Linked DNA regions of Coturnix japonica. The protein of the gene in region 3 binds, or shares a complex with, the protein of the main gene of each other region. Links are inferred from orthologs where the notes say so. Each region holds a gene or a part of one and is shown on either strand. Other genes may lie near its edges. The genes, in order: NDUFAF1, TMEM186 and ACAD9.

Region 1 (6,868 bases), on a different chromosome or scaffold from region 3:
GGAACTACATGATCCTTGAGGTCCCTTCCAACCCGGCTCATTCTGTGATTCTGTGATTTGAAACCATACACGTTATAAAGGAGATATATCACAGCTGATGCTTCTGGCGAGACTGTTCAACTCTGTTTCAGCATCCTCAGGTGCCAGGGATGGCACTAAAAGCAGGGGACACACACAGAGCAGGCACCAAGCTCAGACTTGTGAAGCAGCCCCAAAAGCCACACAGGTAACCAAGAAGAAGTACCGGCTCACAAACAAACTCATCATCTGCTGCTCACGGATTGTCCAGGTGACAGAAGCAGTAATTCAAACCAATTATTTCTGAAGCTGCAGTGCTGTCTTTGTAGCCTATGATTTAATTTATTGTTAAAAGCATTGCTCTGGGGCTGATGAATCTTAGTGGTGAGCAAAAATAAAGCCACACCAACTTCTGCAAGCTTGGGAAGACAATACTGGTTGGGTTTGAATTAGATTCACATCTGAAAGACCATCTCCACAGCAAACAGATTAGAGTTTAGGACCTCAAGTGAGAACACAAACATTGCTGAGGCTGAAGGCCTAGGCTTTTACCTACAAAGTTGGCAATGGCACTTCACAAATGATGTTCTGAAGACAAGATCCAACACCAACAGAATGTATTTCTACAATAAGAGGCTCCCACGAGGAAGCACCTGGTGTTTTCTACAACCCTTTTCTAGACATCACCTCTAACAGCAGTCACTAAGTTGTACTTCTACACAGACTGTGTTCCATCATGATATCTCGGTGTTAACACTTACTGCCACCTTTACTCCAAGCAATACAAGCAACTCCTCCTGCTTTCAGGTTCTGAAGTGACTATGGAATTAATACAGCAGGGTGAGAAGCTGACAGCTTTACAAGGCGGCAAGATCAGTACCATCAGGGCAGGATCTATGGTATGTTTGTTTAAAGGGGCGTAGAATTTGCAGCTCCAGTCTGCAAAAGCATTTCTGAGCATTTGAGGCCAGTGTTATTTATTTACAACACAGCAACAGCTTCTCTATTAAAAACTCAAAGGCCCAGCACACAGACAGACGTGTAGGCACCAGCACGTGAAATCAACCCAGCTTCTTCATAGAAGAAGGAGGGCACAGTAGATACACCACACTTTGCCTACATCTTTATTTACCACCTGTCAGCAGCTGCTGCCCTGAGAGCTGGAGCGCTGAGAATGACCCTGCAGAGAGGAGTGCAGCGCTGCCATACGCACATCGCGCTGCCCCACACCGCACTCCCAGCCCCACCAGGTGCTCCAACGGCAGCGCACGGCTCCCACCAGCACAGCGCAGCGCAGCCGGCAGGGCCCGGCACGGAGCACCCGCATGCGGCTCCCGGGATCGGCCGCCCGTGCACGGCGCTTCCCGTGGAGCAGGCGGCAGTACACACACACAGCACACACAGCACACACACACAGCACACACAGCACATACACACAGCACACACACACACACACAGCACACACACACACAGCACACACACACACAGCACACACACACACACACACACACACACACAACACACACACACAACACACAGCACACACAAACAGCACACACAAACAGCACACACAAACAGCACACACAAACAGCACACACACAGCACACACACAGCACACACACACACACAGCACACACACACACACAGCACACACACACACACACAGCACACACACACACAGCAACACAACTACACAGCAACACAACAACACAACCACACAACAACACAACACAACAACACAACCACACAGCAACACACCAGAAACACACAACACGACCACACGACACACACATCCAGAGCACACACACATCCCAAGCACACACACACCCCGAGCACACACATACACCCCGAGCACACACATCTAGAGCACACACACACAACACACAGCACACACACACAGCACGGCTCCCCGCCGCCATGCCCCCCGCCCGCGCCTCAGGATCCCGCGGGCCGAACCCCCGCGCATCCCCGCGGCCCCGTGCTGCTCAGCCGCCGGTACTGCCGGGCAGGGCGGCCCGAAGCGGCGCCGCGCGGTCTGTCCGCGGAGCCCCCCCCGGGGCCGCATCCCGGCCGGGCCGAGGGGAGGAGAGAAGGACGGATGGCGGCTCCCGGCCCCTCGCGGCCCGGAGGGCCCGGTCCGGGCCTCCCCGCGCACCTGGTCGAGGTTCTCCTCGCTGCCGCTGTCCTCGGTGTCGGAGTCGATGAGGACGCGGCCTTTCCGCTTCTTCACCATGGCGGAGCCGCCTTCCCCGCGTCCCTCTCGGCCGGCGGCGGCGCGGCGCTCCTCACGGCCCGGCCTGCCCCGCGCCGCCCGCCCGACCGGGACACAAAGGGCACCGCGCATGCGCACCGCGACGGGGCGGGAAGGAGGGCGGGGCCGCCGCGGGTCGTTCCGCTGCCCGTGAGCGGAGTAGGGCGACATGGCGGCAGCGGCCCGTTCCGCTCCTCGGGGATCGGGACTTCGCGCACAGGCCGCTCCCCCGGCCGCATCTCCCGTTCTGTCCACGCACCGCTCCTGCCCGGCCCCCGCAGGCGGCCGTCTGCCCCAAACCGTAACTCATTAAGCACAAACACACGGGGAAGGGCTCCTGGGTCCCTCCGCGCCGCGCGGGTGTGAGGCCGCGCCGTGGGCGGAACCTGAGCGGCCTGGAGCGCGTTCCCCGCCGGGCACGGAAACGCCGAGGAGCCGCGGCTTGAGGTGAGAGGAGCGGGGAGGCACGAGCGGGGCGGGGGGGGAAACCGGGCTGTGGTACGGAACGGCACCGCACGGCACGGCACAGCACTGCCATGCGGCGGGATGCAGCCATCCCAGGGACCGGCCTGAGCAGCCTGAGGGGCCGCGGCCTTGAGAGGTGTCCGCCTAGAGGAGCGCTGTGCCTGAGGCTGTTCTTGTTGGTGTTGGTCGAGAATAACTAAGCGTACATCGGGTGGAAGGTTAGCAGGAATAGCTGTGTTTATCTACTCTTTGCTTTTGTTTAATGTATTTGATTCTTTTCGTATTTCACATCACTGGGCAAGAAACACTGAAACAACCTAGAGGGCCGAGGAAGTGTAATACTCGGCATTATTTGTTATTCCTTTTTCTTAATGGCTGGAATTTCTAATTAATGTGACTTTAGAAATATATACATGCACCTAGTGTTTCTAAATCTTTAATTTTTCTTTTCTCTTTTTCATTGAAGGTGGGGGTTAACTGCAGTTACAACACAGGATACATCCAGATACGAATTTGGCTGTTAATTTCAACCCTATCGATTGCCCTGCTGGAAGCAGCTCCTTTTAGTTACCAGCATGGCTCTGTCTGTCACGTTGCTGAGCATCGCAGGCTCACACAGTAGATGCTGCAGACACAAAGTTTTGCAGCCCTTGCTTGGAACTGTCCGTGTTGACTCCGTGTCAAAATGTTACAGCAGTTACCGGAGGCCGGGGGCGCAGCCTGAGGTGAAACCGTCTTGGCGAAACATTGATTTCAGCTTTAAGAAGGGCTTTGATGCCTTAAAGACCCAGCTAAAGCTGCTGAAGCAGGAGACCAAAGATCATCTCACAGGACCTGATGGCCAATCATTCAGTCAGTACCTGCTGGAACAGACGAAGGTGATGTGGGAGTTTCGGAGCCAGGAAGATTTAGATAAATGGGTTATCTCCTCCGATGTAGAGATTGGAGGGAAAAGTGAAGTTCACCTAAAGCTGGGTAGGAACAACCAGGGTGCCATGCTGTATGGAGTACTCAATACTGAAGTACCTCGGGATGGGGAGACCAAATACAGTGGATATTGTAGCATGAGAGCCAAACCAGCCGTGGTAAGTACAGCATCTGTTACTCGAGTGTTTCTCTGTAATCCCAGTGATGACGGGTGGGCTGCTGGTTACTGTGGTTGTGACCCATCACCTTCAGGATTATCAGATACTGCTTGTATAGATGTAATTGCTCTTGTATCCATTGACCTGGAAGGAACTTAAAAGTCTAGCTTGGCTTTTCTTAGAAAATAGTGCATTTGATCATTTGCTGATGTAACATCACTCAGTAACACAGTCCTGTTTGTGTTTTCTTCACAGAAGAGGGATTTATAGCAAAACCATAAAATCAAGTAGCCGCAGTCTTTGTATTAGTGTGTTCATTAATTATCTACCAACTGTGAGCTTATATAAGGAAGGCTTCATTTTATTTATAAGGATGGTTAACTGTAGTAGCGCTGTGATGTTAAGGAGAAGCCTCAGGATTGATGGTGCAAGTTTTGGTTTGGTTTGAGCAGTTCTGGCCTAGAATATCCCTGATGCCACCCTAGTGCTCCAGTGACATCACTAACATTCCGCAGAGGTCATGGGAGCTGTCAGAGCATATGAGCAGAATATGGAGCATATCACAGCTCTGGGACTTTGGAAGATCTGTGGATAATACACTTGGGGCCTGGATGTGCTTGTAACCTGGATCATTGTGCAGTTAGCGTCAAAACCTGTTGGGAAATGTGTAAGTGCTTTTAGTCCTCCTGTCAGTCTTCAGTAGAGAAAGTCAGTTACCACAGGGGATACATTATCCCACGTTTCTTGTAACCTCTTCTGAGTAGTCTAGTGCTCACCACAGAATATTAAACAACTATTAAACTAGGCCTGTAGTTAGAGCATTTGTGTTCTTGTCTAGGAGGGGATTTGTTCTTAGGAGATAAATCTGATAATTACCAGATTTATAATGAATGTGTGGATCTTCAGAGTGGTGATACTACGTTTTGTGGTTTCTCATGTGGTCTCTTTGTTGAGATGCGAGACTGCTCTGATGAAAAAGGACCCCGGTTTCACTGCATCACGGTTATTTGCAGTAAGAACAAGGGCAGTGATCCAAGCAGTAGTGCTCATAATGCAGATTTCCTTTTAAGTACGAAGGTGGGATAATTCTATTTCTTATTTGTAGGGATCTTTTGCTAGGAAGAAGTATTACGACTGGTCCAACTTCAACAGTCTGTATTTACGTGTCCGTGGTGATGGCAGAGCTTGGATGGTCAACATTTATACAGACCCTTACTTCTCCCATCAAAAGGATGACCTGTACAACTACTTCATGTTCACCCGAGGTGGACCGTACTGGGAGGAAATAAAGGTAAACGAATGAGTCGCTAAATCTGAAAGTAACTTTTCTAACTAGGTGCAGTTCTAGACATTTCTGAAGCAAAGGCTGTTTCAGGGCCATAGCTGTAGCTCTGTGGAATGACAGCTCTTTCAGCAGTTATCATTTATTGCTGTTTAAATACTTAGCCCATTTAATTGTGTTCTCCACGTGTCTGTGGTGTATCCACATACAGACGTGGCCCTTTGATTTGGAAGGTCCCAGTGCTGTAACTTACTGGATTGTGGGAGTATAAACTGTGAAAATTAAATCAAATAATACAATAAATTTAGTGTTAGTATATGAATATGTTATCTATTATGTATTTTAAATAATCTACCACGTGTTTCCCGGAATGTCTGTTGTTTGCTGTTACAGGAGGCAGACCTTTGAACTGGGCTGGCGCTATACATGTATACTATATCCCATGCTATAGAATGGGAATATATGTGCTATAATACATACATTATGACAAATGTATGTATATACTTAAATTTAATTAATTGAAACAAACAAACAATAAATTCTACTCCTATCTGAAATTGGCTTCATGAGCTGAGGGCTCTTTAGTACAGACTAACAAAAAATGAGCCACCAAAACTAGAACATCGTGGTTGTCCCACGTGTGTGTGGGGCTGTAGTGGCGCTCAGGAGCACCTGCCATTCTGTATCTATGATTGTCTGGGAGCCTGTGGGTCTTAACACTGGGAAACACAACAAGCAGCCACACAGGGTGCATACTCAGCTCATACAGTGGGTGGTCAGAGCATGCACTGAATAGATGCAGCTATTGCAGCTTTGCAGGCAGCGCCAGGAACTTTCTATGCAATAACCGTTTTATCTGTAATGAATGGACTTAGATTGGTGTAGGATGTGTACCCTTCAACATGGTTTGCCAAACTTGGAGTCACTTGGGGCCTCAGAGGTGTGTGGATTGTTAGTCACAGCCTTTGAATCTGTGACACCCTGTAATGTTGGCAAGAAATGGGAGTTTCAGCTCTTTTCTGAGGACAGTGAAGTGTGTCACTGCTGGCCTGCACGTGTTCCTCACTCACAGCAGCCAGTTCTCGTTTCCTGTCCCTTGTCACAGCCCTCCTTTCTTGTTCCCACCCAGTTCAAATCACTGTTATATTTTTGTGAACTGTTTGCTAGGACGTTGATGTCTTTGAATGAAATTTGCAGTATAGAATATGCAGGCTGGATGTGGATGAGCTCTCCGTGGGCCTATAGTGCATCCTAGACTTCTCATTAATTTGTTAAAGCTGACACGCCATTGGAAGGTGATATTCTAGATGTGAACAGCCATCTTCCATGCTTCAACCTCTCCTGCGTCAATCTGAGCTATCTCTGAGCATCCAGCTAGCTCAGAATCCAGCCTAACAGCTGGAAACAGCTGCTGGAGGGCAGTGTGGGGCTGGAGCTGGCAGCACATGGCTAATGAGTGACCTGCTGCTTTTTGCTGATTCTTCGGACTTTGAAGTGCTGGTACCAGATTTAGTGTTATTTCATTTTCTAAGGCAGGGTTTGTTTGTTTTTTTCCCCTTTAAGGTTTTATTCTATATATACTGGTGACACTAAAGTCTATTTTTCTTTTGTTTCTGCTGTCAGATTCCGTTCTCCAAATTCTTTCTGTCCAGTCGAGGAAGAGTACAGGATGACCAACATCCCATCTGGTTGGACAAGGCAAGTTTTCTGTAGGCTTAATTTGCCAGAGCTACTTTGAGGTTGCATTGCCATCGTGTAGGCAATTGA
Region 2 (6,178 bases), on a different chromosome or scaffold from region 3:
TGTTCTGGACATCTCTTTACTGTGAACTCTTTGCTATTTGCTTCAGGCTGACTTGAATTCATTCTGGTGCCTCTTTCCATTTGTTTTCATGGCCAGCAGGCACCTGGTTTTTCCTTATTGAGTTGAAGTTGTTTATGTTAAGCACCAAAAAGGAGGGACCACATCTGACACTACAGTCGCCCTATTAGCAAGTTTTTAATTATACAGTACAGACAGAGCAGTTTAAGGACTTATACATGCTTAAAAGAGCTACCAAACTGTGAAAGGTTTCTTACCTTCTTGGTAAGTTTTAATCACGGTTTTCCCATTTTATTTATTGAGTTTATTGGACGACTCAAGAAAACTCACTTCTATTAGCTTAAAAATAACGGGATTTCTATAAACCTCTCTGCAGAACCCAGAATTCAGGTACCAGCTGGTCAGAACCTGAGCAGGTTTTTGAACGGAGGTTGTTGGTGTTCAACAAAGCCTCGTTGTCATCACTGTCCTATTATCACCAAGAGGAAAGTCAAACTGAGAACTGCATTTGACTGCATTCTGGGAAGTAGGTAGTTCAACATATCAGTGCAGTAGTTTTAGTGTCCTAGCAAGTCAAGTCTTGTACTTTTCCAGAGGCAAAGGTCCAGTACTTTGAAGTCTTACCACACCTTCACTTTTATGATGAATACTCTAGATGTTTTTATAATTTTTACTGACACTCAGTAACTGTATAATTGTGTACAACATGCTGATGAGATCATGTTAGAGAATACATAGGAAGCACTGCAGCTGAAGCGTATGAAGTTAATATTGTTTACAACATACTGTGGACAGTGCCAAATAAATGTTTAAGCCAATACTTAACTACACTTCATGGTGTAACCAGTAACTGTACACAGATTCATAAAACAAACAATGACATCTCGTGTAATCAGTATTCTTAAATAAAATATTTATAATTCAACTGCCCCAAGGCTCTTTATTTTACCCCTAGCACGTGCCTAGGCTGAATCATTAGTGCACATATTAACTACATTCACATGAAGAGATTTCTCCACAACCCATACCAGACCACTTCAGTCAGCTGAGATTCTGCTCCCACAGCATTTAAGCCAAGGAACATTTTTATTTTCTTTTTGATATTGCTGCACAACTCGCTATCAGCCAAAACTGAGATGGAGACCCCAATCAGGAGACATTCAACATGAGTGGGCAGTACATCGGGGTTAGCATTTGCACTGTAACAGCAATTGTACCTACCTGATCTGCTGATCCACTGAGATGGATTTTAGTAGGCCCGAGGAATAGACCGAAAAGCACGTTCCAGATGTCGCTGCTGGTGAGGTTAGCTGATGTGCTGGAAATGATCTCAGAAGTCATCAAATCCAACTGTTAACCTAGAACGGCCACTAAACCACGTCCCTCAGCACTGCATGTGTTGAGTCTTTTCAGTACCTCAGCTTTGCCCGGGACAGCCTGCCATAGTGCTTCAAAAAGACTTCTTATAATACCCTTAAAATTACCCTTAAACAGCTTAAACTTGAGGCTGTTTCCTCATCCTATCAATCACTATTACCTGGGAGAAGAGACTGAGCCCTGCCTTGTTAAAGCCTCCTTTGAGGTAACTAACTGTAGAGAGTAATAAAGTCCCCAGGCCTCCTTTCCCCTGTGCCAAACAATCTGCTGCTCCTAAAGGTTTGTACTGCATTGTACAAACCTTTAGGACATTGTACATTGAACTACATTTGTTCCTAGATTTAAATCCTGATTTCTGCTGAGATTTTGGCTTTGGCAAAGGAGGAATCAATAATACAGCAGAGCACCTCCTCTGCCCTTTACAGACACAGGGGGTGAGGTGATGAGCTCCACACACACAGGGGGGGCTGTGATCAGCTCTACCAGTTCAACAGAACAAGCTACACCTGTTACACTTCTCAGCTGTAATTCAACACAGCTTTTATCTGTTTTACCTTTTCTCCCCTTGTTTTAGGTCAGGGCAGTGGGTGGGTATTTGCCAAGGGTGCTGTAGACGTTAGAGAGCCCAAATCAACACACAGATCAAGCAGGACAGAGCAGCTGAACCACAGCTACATGGTGATCTATGGTGGTAAACAGAAGGTTGGTGACTTCAGTCTCAGATAATTTTTTAGCAATATTTACTGTTTTTGCAACTCGAGTGCTACAGCAGTGATTAAATGTCATTCACACATACATACAAACAACCCCCCCAGCATGAACATATGCAGACAAGAACAAGTAGTTCCAAATTTCAACATAATGATTGTTAAAATCCGAACTGAGAAAGGGCTCCCTGTCATTCATAGCACCACAAACGAAGAATACTGCATTCTTCCTTTATTTCAATGGGAAATGATTTAACACTGAAGGCTCCTGGAGGGGCTTTAACCACCCAGACATCAGCTGTGCAGCAGCACTTGGGTTCTGTTTGCACCCACACAGCCACCAGCCCTGCGTACTCAGAGCTGATCCAAATATCGTTTCTTTAACACTGATTTTATGATTGTCAGGAAGCCTTTTCACCATTATAACTACTAATTACTGCTCATAAATCCATGGGCCAGTATCACTCTGACATCTAGCATCATTTATCATACGACTGTATGGGAGCACTTGAATTTCACTAAGTTTCCCAGCTAACCTAAACCTTGCTGAAGGTGAATCTGAAATGAGGATGCTCTGACACTCACTTTGAAAGCTTGGGTTTTTTTTTACCCAAAGCCTCCAAAGCTGAAACATTGCAGGGCAGCACCTCGCTGCCTCTATGGCTGTGTGACACTGCACACACTAACTGCATCCAAAAGGAGCACTCCTGCTCACCCCAGAACTGCAACACTTACTTACTTACCCAGAGGACTGTTGGATACTGTTACACTGAACACACAGCCCAGCAGACGTGGCAAAAATGACAGAAGTGTATCAGTTCGATAAACGAATTGCATGTTGTGCAAGAATCCACATAAGGAACAATACAACAAGAGGCATCAGCTGCCGCTGAATCACTGCAGCTCTCCAAATATCTGCATAAACTTCTGTCTGTCCACAATCTGTCCGTATTTAATAGTGAAATACAAGACCTCTGTGCTGTTGTACCTTCTGAACCGGAGCAGCAGCTCTCCCCTGGCATCCCCGACCTCATCCAAAGTCATCACCGTCTCCAAGGGGCAGCAGATGTCGTTGCGCCTCCCCCAGAACGTCATGTGGGACACTTTGACGGTTCTTCCGCTTTCACTTAAGTAAATCAACCCGATAATTCGTCTGAAAAAGTAACTCATCCCGTACAGCATCACAGCGGCAAAGACAGCGATGCCGGCCGTGTACAGCAGCACGGCCTGGGGCAGCTGCTGCTGCAGGTGCAGGTAACACACGGGTGGAAGCACCAGCAGCGTCGTTGCGGTCTGAAGCAGCTTCAACCTCGACAGCAGCCGGCAGTATTTAATACCAGGGAACCTGTACACCACGCGGAACTCTTCGCTTTTACCTCCTCCAACCTGCGGGATGGCAGCGACAGGAGCGGCCCTGCCAGGCAGGGGGGTTGGAACTACATGATCCTTGAGGTCCCTTCCAACCCGGGTCAATGTGTGATTCTGTGTGATTCTGTGAGACCAACGGCGCAGGAACCGAGACGGCACACGGTCACCGAGAAAGCCGTGGATTCTCCCGTTGTGTGCCCACCAACACACGGCCCTACCGAGCGAGCAGGGCGGCCCGGCGGCCTCCTCCTTCCACACCGTCCTGCAGGTCCCCCCATGCAGCCACCTCCCCATGGCCGACAAGGCGCGGCCGCTCCTCACGCAGCACAGCCGGACCTGCGGGCACACTGAGGTGAACAACGAGGCCCAAAGCCGCGCACCCTGAGCAGGCCGAGCTCCCCCCGCACCACCACAACTCACCATCGCCATGAGGGAAGCGCTGCCACGCCGCCGTCTCACAGCACCGCCCCCTTCCCGGCTGGCCCCGCTGCTCACAGCCGCGATGGCGCCGGCGGAGCGAGCCGTGCTGTGTCTGTTCGATGTGGACGGGACCCTCACTGCGCCGCGGCAGGTGAGTGGAGAACGGCGGGGGGAGATCAGGGCCGAGCGGGGCGGGATGAGGGGCCTGGAGCGGTCAATGGGGCAGCGCCTGAGCACGGGGCTGTATGGGCTGCACACACGGCTGGGCACGGGGCTGTATGGGCTGGGCACGGGGCTGTTACAGCTCCGGGTAATGCTGACCCCGATTGCACTGTTTGATTTTCGACCGTAGAAAATCACGGCGGAGATGGCGGAGTTCCTGCAGAGGTTGCGTCAGAAGGTGAAGGTGGGCGTTGTCGGGGGTTCAGACTTTGAGAAGATCAAGGAGCAGCTCGGTGATGACGGTACGGGATGGGGCTGTGCCCGGGGTTACCGAGTCCTTCTTCCCGTTGGGATCTCACTCGTTCTAACCCGTGTAACTCACGTTTGAACACACGGGCGGTTCCTGTCACCACCTTCCTCCTGTTTGTTTGCAGTGGTTGAGAAGTTTGACTACGTGTTTCCAGAGAACGGGCTCGTGGCTTACAAAGATGGGAAGTTCTTCAGCAAGCAGGTAGGGGCAAAAAAAGTGGGAACTTCTAGTTAAATCAATGGAGAGTTCCTTATTGAAAGGCCACTGCTCTGTGCCAGCAATCACAGCTGATTATCCACCAGCTGTGTTCTCCTGTTAAACTGTTTCAAGGATCTCCAGATGTGGAGCCTGGGTTAATTAATGGTATTGATTTTGTTTAGAACATTCAGGGTCACCTGGGTGAGGAGGTGCTCCAAGACCTCATCAACTACTGCCTGAGTTACATTGCAAAGATTAAACTGCCAAAGAAAAGGTATGTGCATAGGATGCATCTCAAGTCAGCATCTAAGAGTGCTGGGCTTCAATGTGCAAAGCAGACACCTCATGTAAAGGGGTCCCACTGTCTTTAAACAAAGCCTCATTGCTACATTCAGTATCTTAAACGTTGTTTCATCTGTTTTCTGCCTTGTTAATTAATTCTCTTTCAGGGGCACTTTTATTGAATTCCGCAATGGGATGTTAAACGTGTCCCCCATTGGAAGAAGCTGTAGCCAGGAAGAACGAATTGAGTTCTATGAACTTGATAAGGTGATTGGGTGTTTTTAGTTATTATTTTTCTATTGCTGAATTAACACAGCGTGCAGCTGATCCCTTTTGTTTCTTTGTTTTTCTTACACAGAAGGAGCATATAAGAGAAAAATTTGTAGCTGATTTACGAAGAGAATTTGCAGGAAAAGGCCTCACATTTTCTATAGGTATCACATTTGAAATAATCTCATTTGAAACACCATTTCATTTAAATCAGATCCTCCCCCTGCCAAACAACCTAACACAAAACACTGTAACATGAAAGTACAGCAGCAATAGCACAGCATCAAGGTCCTAAACATGCTCAAACACAACAGCCATGGGCACAGAAACAAAGGAAAGAAGCTGCTTACCTTCAGAAGGCCTCAGATACACAGGGATCTCCAGCAAGATGCTCTCACCTCCACTACTAACCCTTAAATGAGGTCTGGGAAGGGGTGGATCCTGGCTTCAGCCCTTCCATCACTCAGTACATTGCCTGCACCTGAGTGCCCCTGGGCACTTCTTACCAGGTGTTCAATCAATGCTTCAGGCCACAACTCAGCATTCACTCTACTAAAAGTCATACTCCATTTTGTTCTTCCTCACTTCTGACAAATGTGTTCTTTTAACAAAGCTTTCTTGGTTCGTGTCTCTTGTAGGAGGCCAGATAAGCTTTGACGTATTCCCAGATGGCTGGGACAAGAGGTACTGCTTAGGAATCATTGCAGAAGATGGATACAAGACTGTTTATTTCTTTGGAGATAAGACTATGCCAGTGAGTAAACTGTTTTGGGAACATGTTTCAGGGCTGCGTTTTGAACTGCAAGTACTGTCAGTTCCTGTCAGCTCCATTATGCCTGACAAGAACTGAATTTAGAATAGACACACACACATATATATATATAACTATATATATATATATGAGTTACTATCTCTTAGAAAATTAAGAAAAACAAAAATAGGGTGTCTGAAGCTTCAAATAGATTTTGCCTGCAAATTCTGCTCGGTTATGCTGTTTGCTTTTACATTTACAAAAAGGATGCCAGGCTACTGCATTAGTTGAAGCTAATGCATTTAACTGAGTTAA
Region 3 (6,205 bases):
GTGATACAGGCATGTTAATTTATGGCTTCTGTGTATGGACGCTTTACTTGTTCTGTACTAAACCTACTGTCAGCAGATTTCACTGTAGATATTCATAAATGGTGCCTCTTTGAGAAGCAATGGAAAATAAAAAGTATTTATGTACACTCTTATTTTCAGAGTTGGAGTAGTAATTCTGTTTGGAAAAGCCCCATTAGCTGTATGCAATCCACATAGGGGCACAGGTGTTCCTTCTCTTATTGATGCAGTAGATTGATGCAGTTCTAGAACAGCTGTAGAAAATTGGTTCTTAAAAACAGCTCTGAGGTACCTGAAAGTGTCGTCTGAGATCTGCTGGCAAAGATAGAGGCCTGGATTGCTGGAGCTTGAAGAAGCTGCAATGTTATATGTGATGATTTATGAGATACAGGCAGTTTTAACAATAAAGCTGCAACGTTGCACAGCAACAATAAATTAATTTATGCAGGTTATGCATTATAGTTCTTTGCTTTGTTGGGAAATAACATTTGTTGAGTAAAAAAGTGGATATTTAAGGGAGAAATAAAACTATCAGATTATAAAGTCTGGACAGAAGGTAGGAATTGATTGTCTTTGTTTGCATTAATGGCTGTTTCTGCCTAATGATTAGGCCAGTCTGTGGGCTGCGATATAAAACAGATAAGGGGAGCAGCCGTAGGTGCTTGGAAACCTGATACGTATGGCTGGCACCGGGTAACCAAAGAAGTTCAGTTCAGCCATGGTTCTAAAGCCTGGCAGTCTGTGGTGTAGAGCTCTGGGTGGGAAGTTCCTTTAGGAACACACTGCTGCTTTTACAGTGACTTTTCTGAGTGCTCTCTGGCAAGGTGGCTGTCATCCCTTTTGCTGTATCCTCCACCCTTCCTCAGCTGCCTGCTGTGATGCTGGTGTATTTTCCCTGTCACTGTGCAGAACCGCTGTGGTCGTCCCCTAAGAATTTAAATGCCTCATAAGAACCAGAGTTGTGTAATGAGCCCATTTCCCAATTATATGCTGTTCTATGATTCCATGATTAAGGACTTGGAAAAAAAATGATGGCCATGGTATAGTTTGGTAAGAAATGCCTGACTTACTCCAGTCACTGAGTCCACTGGAGCACACATTCAAGGCAATGAAACAAAAATGAGATTTTTTTCCCCACTTCCAAGTCCTTTCCTCAGGTCTGTCATGATCTGAGTGTCATAGTCAGTGTTCTGGGATCTTCTGGTGTTTAGGCCTTAATGGTGTGTGTAATAAGGTGGGGTGATCAGGTGGAGTGTTGGCTCCATGGCAGATCAGGTTCTTCTTAATGCTTTCAGCTCATTTCATGAGTAAAGTTGGTGCTTCCGGAAAACCAGGAAATTGCCTTTGGAAAAGCAATTGCTCAAGTTAATGTATCACATCTCTCCTGAAGGACAAAGCCTTCTGGAAACAAAGTTGGACTTCTGGAAGGAGTGTGTAGGAAGAGTGTTTTGCTCTGCTGGGAGGAGACTGGTTGGGGAAGGAGGCTGAGACCATTAGTCTTACAGGAGCCAGCTTAGGGTTTGAGATTTCCAGCCATGAGGGGACAGAGGCAAACAGGATGGCTCATAAGATCAGGCTAAACCTAGAATAAATAAGTCTTGTGACAGTAGGGATGAGATGTATGTAGGTATGTGGTGCAACAAGCACAATATTACTAAGCTGCTTCAGAAATCCACCGGGTAATTAGAGCAGGGGAGGCGTGCTGTTCCCGCAGCCATTTTTTCTGCAGGCTATTTCAGTTCTTCTCAAGCTGGTATTTAGGTTAGAGGGCACAGTGCTGGTGACTCATGGACGCAGTGACCTTAGCTCTGATTTCAGAGCGCGGTGATCTCACGTTTTTCTCTGTGATGAAAATCAAGGCTTTAAATTATTAAACTTTCTGTATTTGTAGTGGACTCCAGGAAGATTGATCTTGATGCAAAAATCCCACCTGAAACTTTGAAAGGACTGAGGGATCTGGGTCTCTTTGGCATGATGATTCCAGAGGAATATGGTGAGTAAGTGATCAAAAAGAATAACCTGGTGACCTGTGGTAAGATACTTGGCTGTCACATCATGTGTCTGTGATTCCTGTGTATTGTTGTGGCTGTCCAGTTAACACAGAGGTGTGGGCACTGAAGGTGTCAGTGCGGTGCTGTGCACTCTCCTGGCTTAAAGGTACCCAAGTTGGGTAATTGCATTTACCAGGTGTACATTGCCCCTGGCACAGAGTTTTCCTTTTAGTCCAATGTTTGGCTGCAGTGGAGTAGCGTGATGTTCTGTGGGACATGAAGGACAAGATGATGATTGCTAAAATTAGACCAGGTACAGACAGCAGTGTCTGATGGATCTGTCAGAGCTGTCATTCACTGACAGGAATGTGTTTGACTGCACAGAGTTAGAGAAGTGCAGTGCCTTGTGATACACAATGTGGCCTTTGTTGTAAAACATATTTGAACACAAAGCTTGTGTCTTAAAGGGGGTTACAGAGTAAGCTGGGATCAGACATTACTTACTCAGTGGATTAACTCTTAAACTTGCAACAGCAAGAAAATTACAGTCATATTCTGATGTGTTTTGAAAATGGGATTGAAACTGGTTCATAACTTGAAATATATAAAATAAGGAAAGAGATGCATTGTCTGCTTTCTAGTGTAGAACAGGAGAGCGACTGGAAGAGGAGGATTCAAAGGAAGGTGGAACTGGGTTTGACAGTCTGTAGTAATTAATTTCAGTGGGGAGGACACTTCACAATAGTGTGAAACAGCACATTTGTTCCAGTATTTGTAAGAATGCTGGATAGAGCTGGAGATGTACCTCAGTGTTAGTTTGCTGTTGAGGTAATACCCTTATTTCCATAAAGGGTTTTGTTCTGTTTGTTGTTTTATTGTATTAACATAAGTGGTGTTGCTAAGCTCCACTGATTTCACTTCCTTAGAGGTTTTTCCCAAATTAGAGTATTTTGGACAACCTGCATGTAAAGTATCATTATGTGATCTCTGTTTAATGTTGTTAATGCTTTTGGAATGCCTTAGAAATGCTGTAAAGTGTTTTTCAATGGGTATTTAGAGCACAGCAAGGCAATGCGGGAGTAGGATGGAGAACAGATCTGCAAGCACCATCAAGGTTTTATTTCCAGGATGGTGCTTTGGACAGAGCACCTTAACTCACATGGGGAGGGGGGGTAATTAGGAATTAAGAAACATACTGAGACGGCAGGAAGTTAATATCCAATGAAAGGAGGTGTTGGAAGCAGAGGACAAAGGAAACAACTCAAAGCAGATGATAAGAAAACATCATGACATTGAAAATGTAATTTACTGTTAATTAGAAATGAGTATCTGACTTAAAATCCTTAACAAATTATTATTACTTTTTGCATTGCCATATAATACTGTCAGTTCTGGTTTTTAGAAGCTTGCAGCCCATTCATGGTACTTGTATAAAACCATAGTCCTGCTGTCCTGTATTCATATATGCTGGATGAAAATCAGATTGCTATCAGCAGGTTACTTTTTTCACCACACCATGACTAATACACTTATGATGAGCTTATTTCCCATTTTTGTTGTTTAAACCTGCTATATTTGTGCTAGAAGTGCTTGTTGTACTTGAAAATTCTTCAGTCTAATATATTTGGTGCCTTGCTCAGTGCATGGTGTTTTTTGTAGTGGTTTGTAGTCGTGGTGTATTTGTGTTTCAAATGCAGAACTTTAATGGGAAGATGGAGCTGATGCTCGTGGTGTAGAAGTGCTCTTTGTCTTGTCATCACTGCAGTCAGGGTGCACACATCAGTGGTCTCTGAGCTCAGTGCTCCTCAGGGTGGGAAAAGAAAGAGCTGTAGCTGGATGGGATTCTGACTTCATTAGAAGCTGTGAAGGAATGGGGTGTGAGGAGCAGTGATTGGAATGGATGGCATTGAGGGGACTTGTTATTTCATGTGCAGAAAACAGCTGCACTATTGAGATGTCTGCTGAAATTAAGGCGCTTGTCATCCTGACTTCTGTCACTGTCTCTTGTAAAGAATTATAAACCCATAAACCTGGGCAAAAGATTCTCTTGCTCAGATAAAACTGTTTATTCAGTAATACTCATTGTAGTCTTAAGTGCTGGCGAGTGGGACTTGCAGTGCTGAAAACATCGTGTCCTTGAACGCTGCCCTCGGACGGGTGCGTCTGTGACGTGGAAGTGCAACGTTTCATTCTTAGTGCAGCTCTGACTGTGGATCTGCTCCATGTCACTTCCACTTTGTTTCCTGGCTGAGCGCCCTGTGTGCCCCGTGCAGCGCTGCTCCCTCTGCTGCCTGCTCAGCTGCAGAGCTCTGCTGGGCTTCCTTCCCTTCTGCAAGGTCAGGACAGTAATTTTATCCTGGATGCACAGAAATCCAGAATCGAGACATTTTTATACCAAATCTTTTACTGATTTCTCCCTTTTTATAGGCTTGTTGTACCATTGGGTGCATGCATGCATACACAGGTCTGTTTTTTCAATAGAACTACGCTTAGCACAACTCGTGTTTATTTAAAAAAGCCTTTTGTTGTGCTTTAGATGAGCTCTAATGTCACACCTGCAGCACGTGGCAGCTGTTTGTGGGCTGTCCATACTGAGGTGTTCCCCAGCAAGCACCACTATTAAAATATGGCTGTATTTAAAAGGGAATTTTTGAGTAGGAGTGAGTGAGTTAAACTGTGAGGTACCTGCTTGGAATAAAGCACAGTGTTTGTTCCAGGTGGTCTCGGACTGTCACACATCATGTACGCACGGCTGGGAGAAATCATCTCCTTGGATGGATCGATCGCGGTTACTCTGGCAGCTCACCAGGCTATTGGGCTGAAGGTATGAAGCTGACACAAATCCTTCCTCATTTGTTGGTACTGATATTTTATCTGCTTAATCATAAGAACCCCCGTATAGAAAATAAATACGACTCTCTACAATAATAATTAAAGTAACATTATGCTTTGTAGTGAAATAGTTTGGAAATTAAGTAAATCACGTTCTGTTCTCTGATTAGGAGCTTCTAGAGTCGATCCTTTTTGAGTTACTTAATAAAATCATAATGAAGGTATGATGAGTTATGAAGGGAGGGCTGTGTCTGTGCCTTTCACAGCAACAATTACATCCTTGCTTCCAGCATTAGGATCCAGGAACCTCCCTGAGAAGGCAGCCTTAACAGCGAGCTGCTTCTTGGGGGCCTCTGAACAGCTGTTACTTTGGCATCTTTTAATGCCTGATCAGTAATAAAGTCCTTTGTTTATTGAACTTGTTCTTAGTACTGCCTTGTTATGCCATATAATTTGCAGATTAACATTGGTGCAGTTTGCTTCAGTTCTGCTGACATCGTTTGATGCTGAAAAGTTTTAATTCTGTGTGCAGGGAATCCTGATTGCTGGCACTGAGCAGCAGAAGGCCAAGTACCTGCCTAAGCTGGCGTCTGGGGAGCACATTGCAGCCTTCTGTCTCACTGAACCTGGAAGGTACTGCTCTTGTAACTAGGAAATCTTCAGAAAGCACCAGAACACCAAGATGATGCTTCCTTTACTGTCTGATTGCTTTGTCACTGTATAAAAATAATAGGAAGGACTTTTGGTCCTTATATAGACACCTGGGGGTGTTTATAAAAGGTATCTTTGTAGCAGCAACCTCCTTTTGAAGCCAGGGTTGTATTTGAGTTTAATCCTTGATCAAACCAGCAAGTTCTGTCAGTGCAAATGAGGCGGCTCCATTAAAATCATGCTGGCAGGTGGTTTGCTGTGGGATGGCTGATCACTTAAACTTTTAACAAAGTAATCCATGCAAGGGACTTTGAAATGACTTGCAGGAAGGAAACAAGGGCTGACTTTGTTCGGAAAGTCCTCTAACAACTTTATTTAGCCTTGTATGATTTTTGAAAATTGCTGGTCCTTGTAAGTGCAGCTCCAGCCTCTGCTGGTATTTCTGTTCTAGCACACAGGACAGTCATTTTTACAGCTGAGTTTTAGAACTCTGATCCTATTAAAGCATCAGCTGAGATCTTGGTGTTCCAGGAACTTGTCTGCAGCTGAAAGCCCAGTGTGAGACATTGCTGTGCTTGAATTTGTTTCAAGGGGGAAATGATGTGCTTCTCACTCCCCTATGTAATAAGGTGATGATTGAAGGGGGTGCTTAAACGTTTAATGACAAGAACAGCAATTCTCAATGTCTTTGTGGTAGCTGGCCTGCAGTTTTA

The links.
Region 1: ACAD9 (region 3) and NDUFAF1 share a complex: the UniProt entries of both Homo sapiens proteins name them as parts of the mitochondrial complex. The link is inferred for Coturnix japonica from reciprocal best matches to the Homo sapiens genes ACAD9 and NDUFAF1.
Region 2: ACAD9 (region 3) and TMEM186 share a complex: the UniProt entries of both Homo sapiens proteins name them as parts of the mitochondrial complex. The link is inferred for Coturnix japonica from reciprocal best matches to the Homo sapiens genes ACAD9 and TMEM186.

The regions. Positions count from the first base shown.
Region 1 is NC_029520.1:21,998,124-22,004,991, reverse strand, and holds the start of NDUFAF1 (complex I intermediate-associated protein 30, mitochondrial), read left to right. Parts: upstream 1-2,483; 5' UTR 2,484-2,716; intron 2,717-3,200; 5' UTR 3,201-3,309; coding exon 3,310-3,819; intron 3,820-4,924; coding exon 4,925-5,110; intron 5,111-6,724; coding exon 6,725-6,799; intron 6,800-6,868. Other genes in the region: RNA polymerase-associated protein RTF1 homolog, read right to left, coding at 2,174-2,440. UniProt on the Homo sapiens protein: As part of the MCIA complex, involved in the assembly of the mitochondrial complex I.
Region 2 is NC_029529.1:9,415,630-9,421,807, reverse strand, and holds TMEM186 (transmembrane protein 186), read right to left. Parts: upstream 3,900-6,178; coding exon 3,891-3,899; exon of another isoform or gene 3,807-3,890; coding exon 2,997-3,806; 3' UTR 2,119-2,996; downstream 1-2,118. Other genes in the region: PMM2 (phosphomannomutase 2), read left to right, coding at 3,898-4,041, 4,243-4,354, 4,487-4,563, 4,743-4,834, 5,010-5,109, 5,201-5,276, 5,751-5,866. UniProt on the Homo sapiens protein: As part of the MCIA complex, required for efficient assembly of the mitochondrial complex I.
Region 3 is NC_029527.1:3,511,176-3,517,380, reverse strand, and holds part of ACAD9 (complex I assembly factor ACAD9, mitochondrial), read left to right. Parts: intron 1-1,909; coding exon 1,910-2,011; intron 2,012-4,726; coding exon 4,727-4,833; intron 4,834-5,373; coding exon 5,374-5,474; intron 5,475-6,205. UniProt on the Homo sapiens protein: As part of the MCIA complex, primarily participates in the assembly of the mitochondrial complex I and therefore plays a role in oxidative phosphorylation.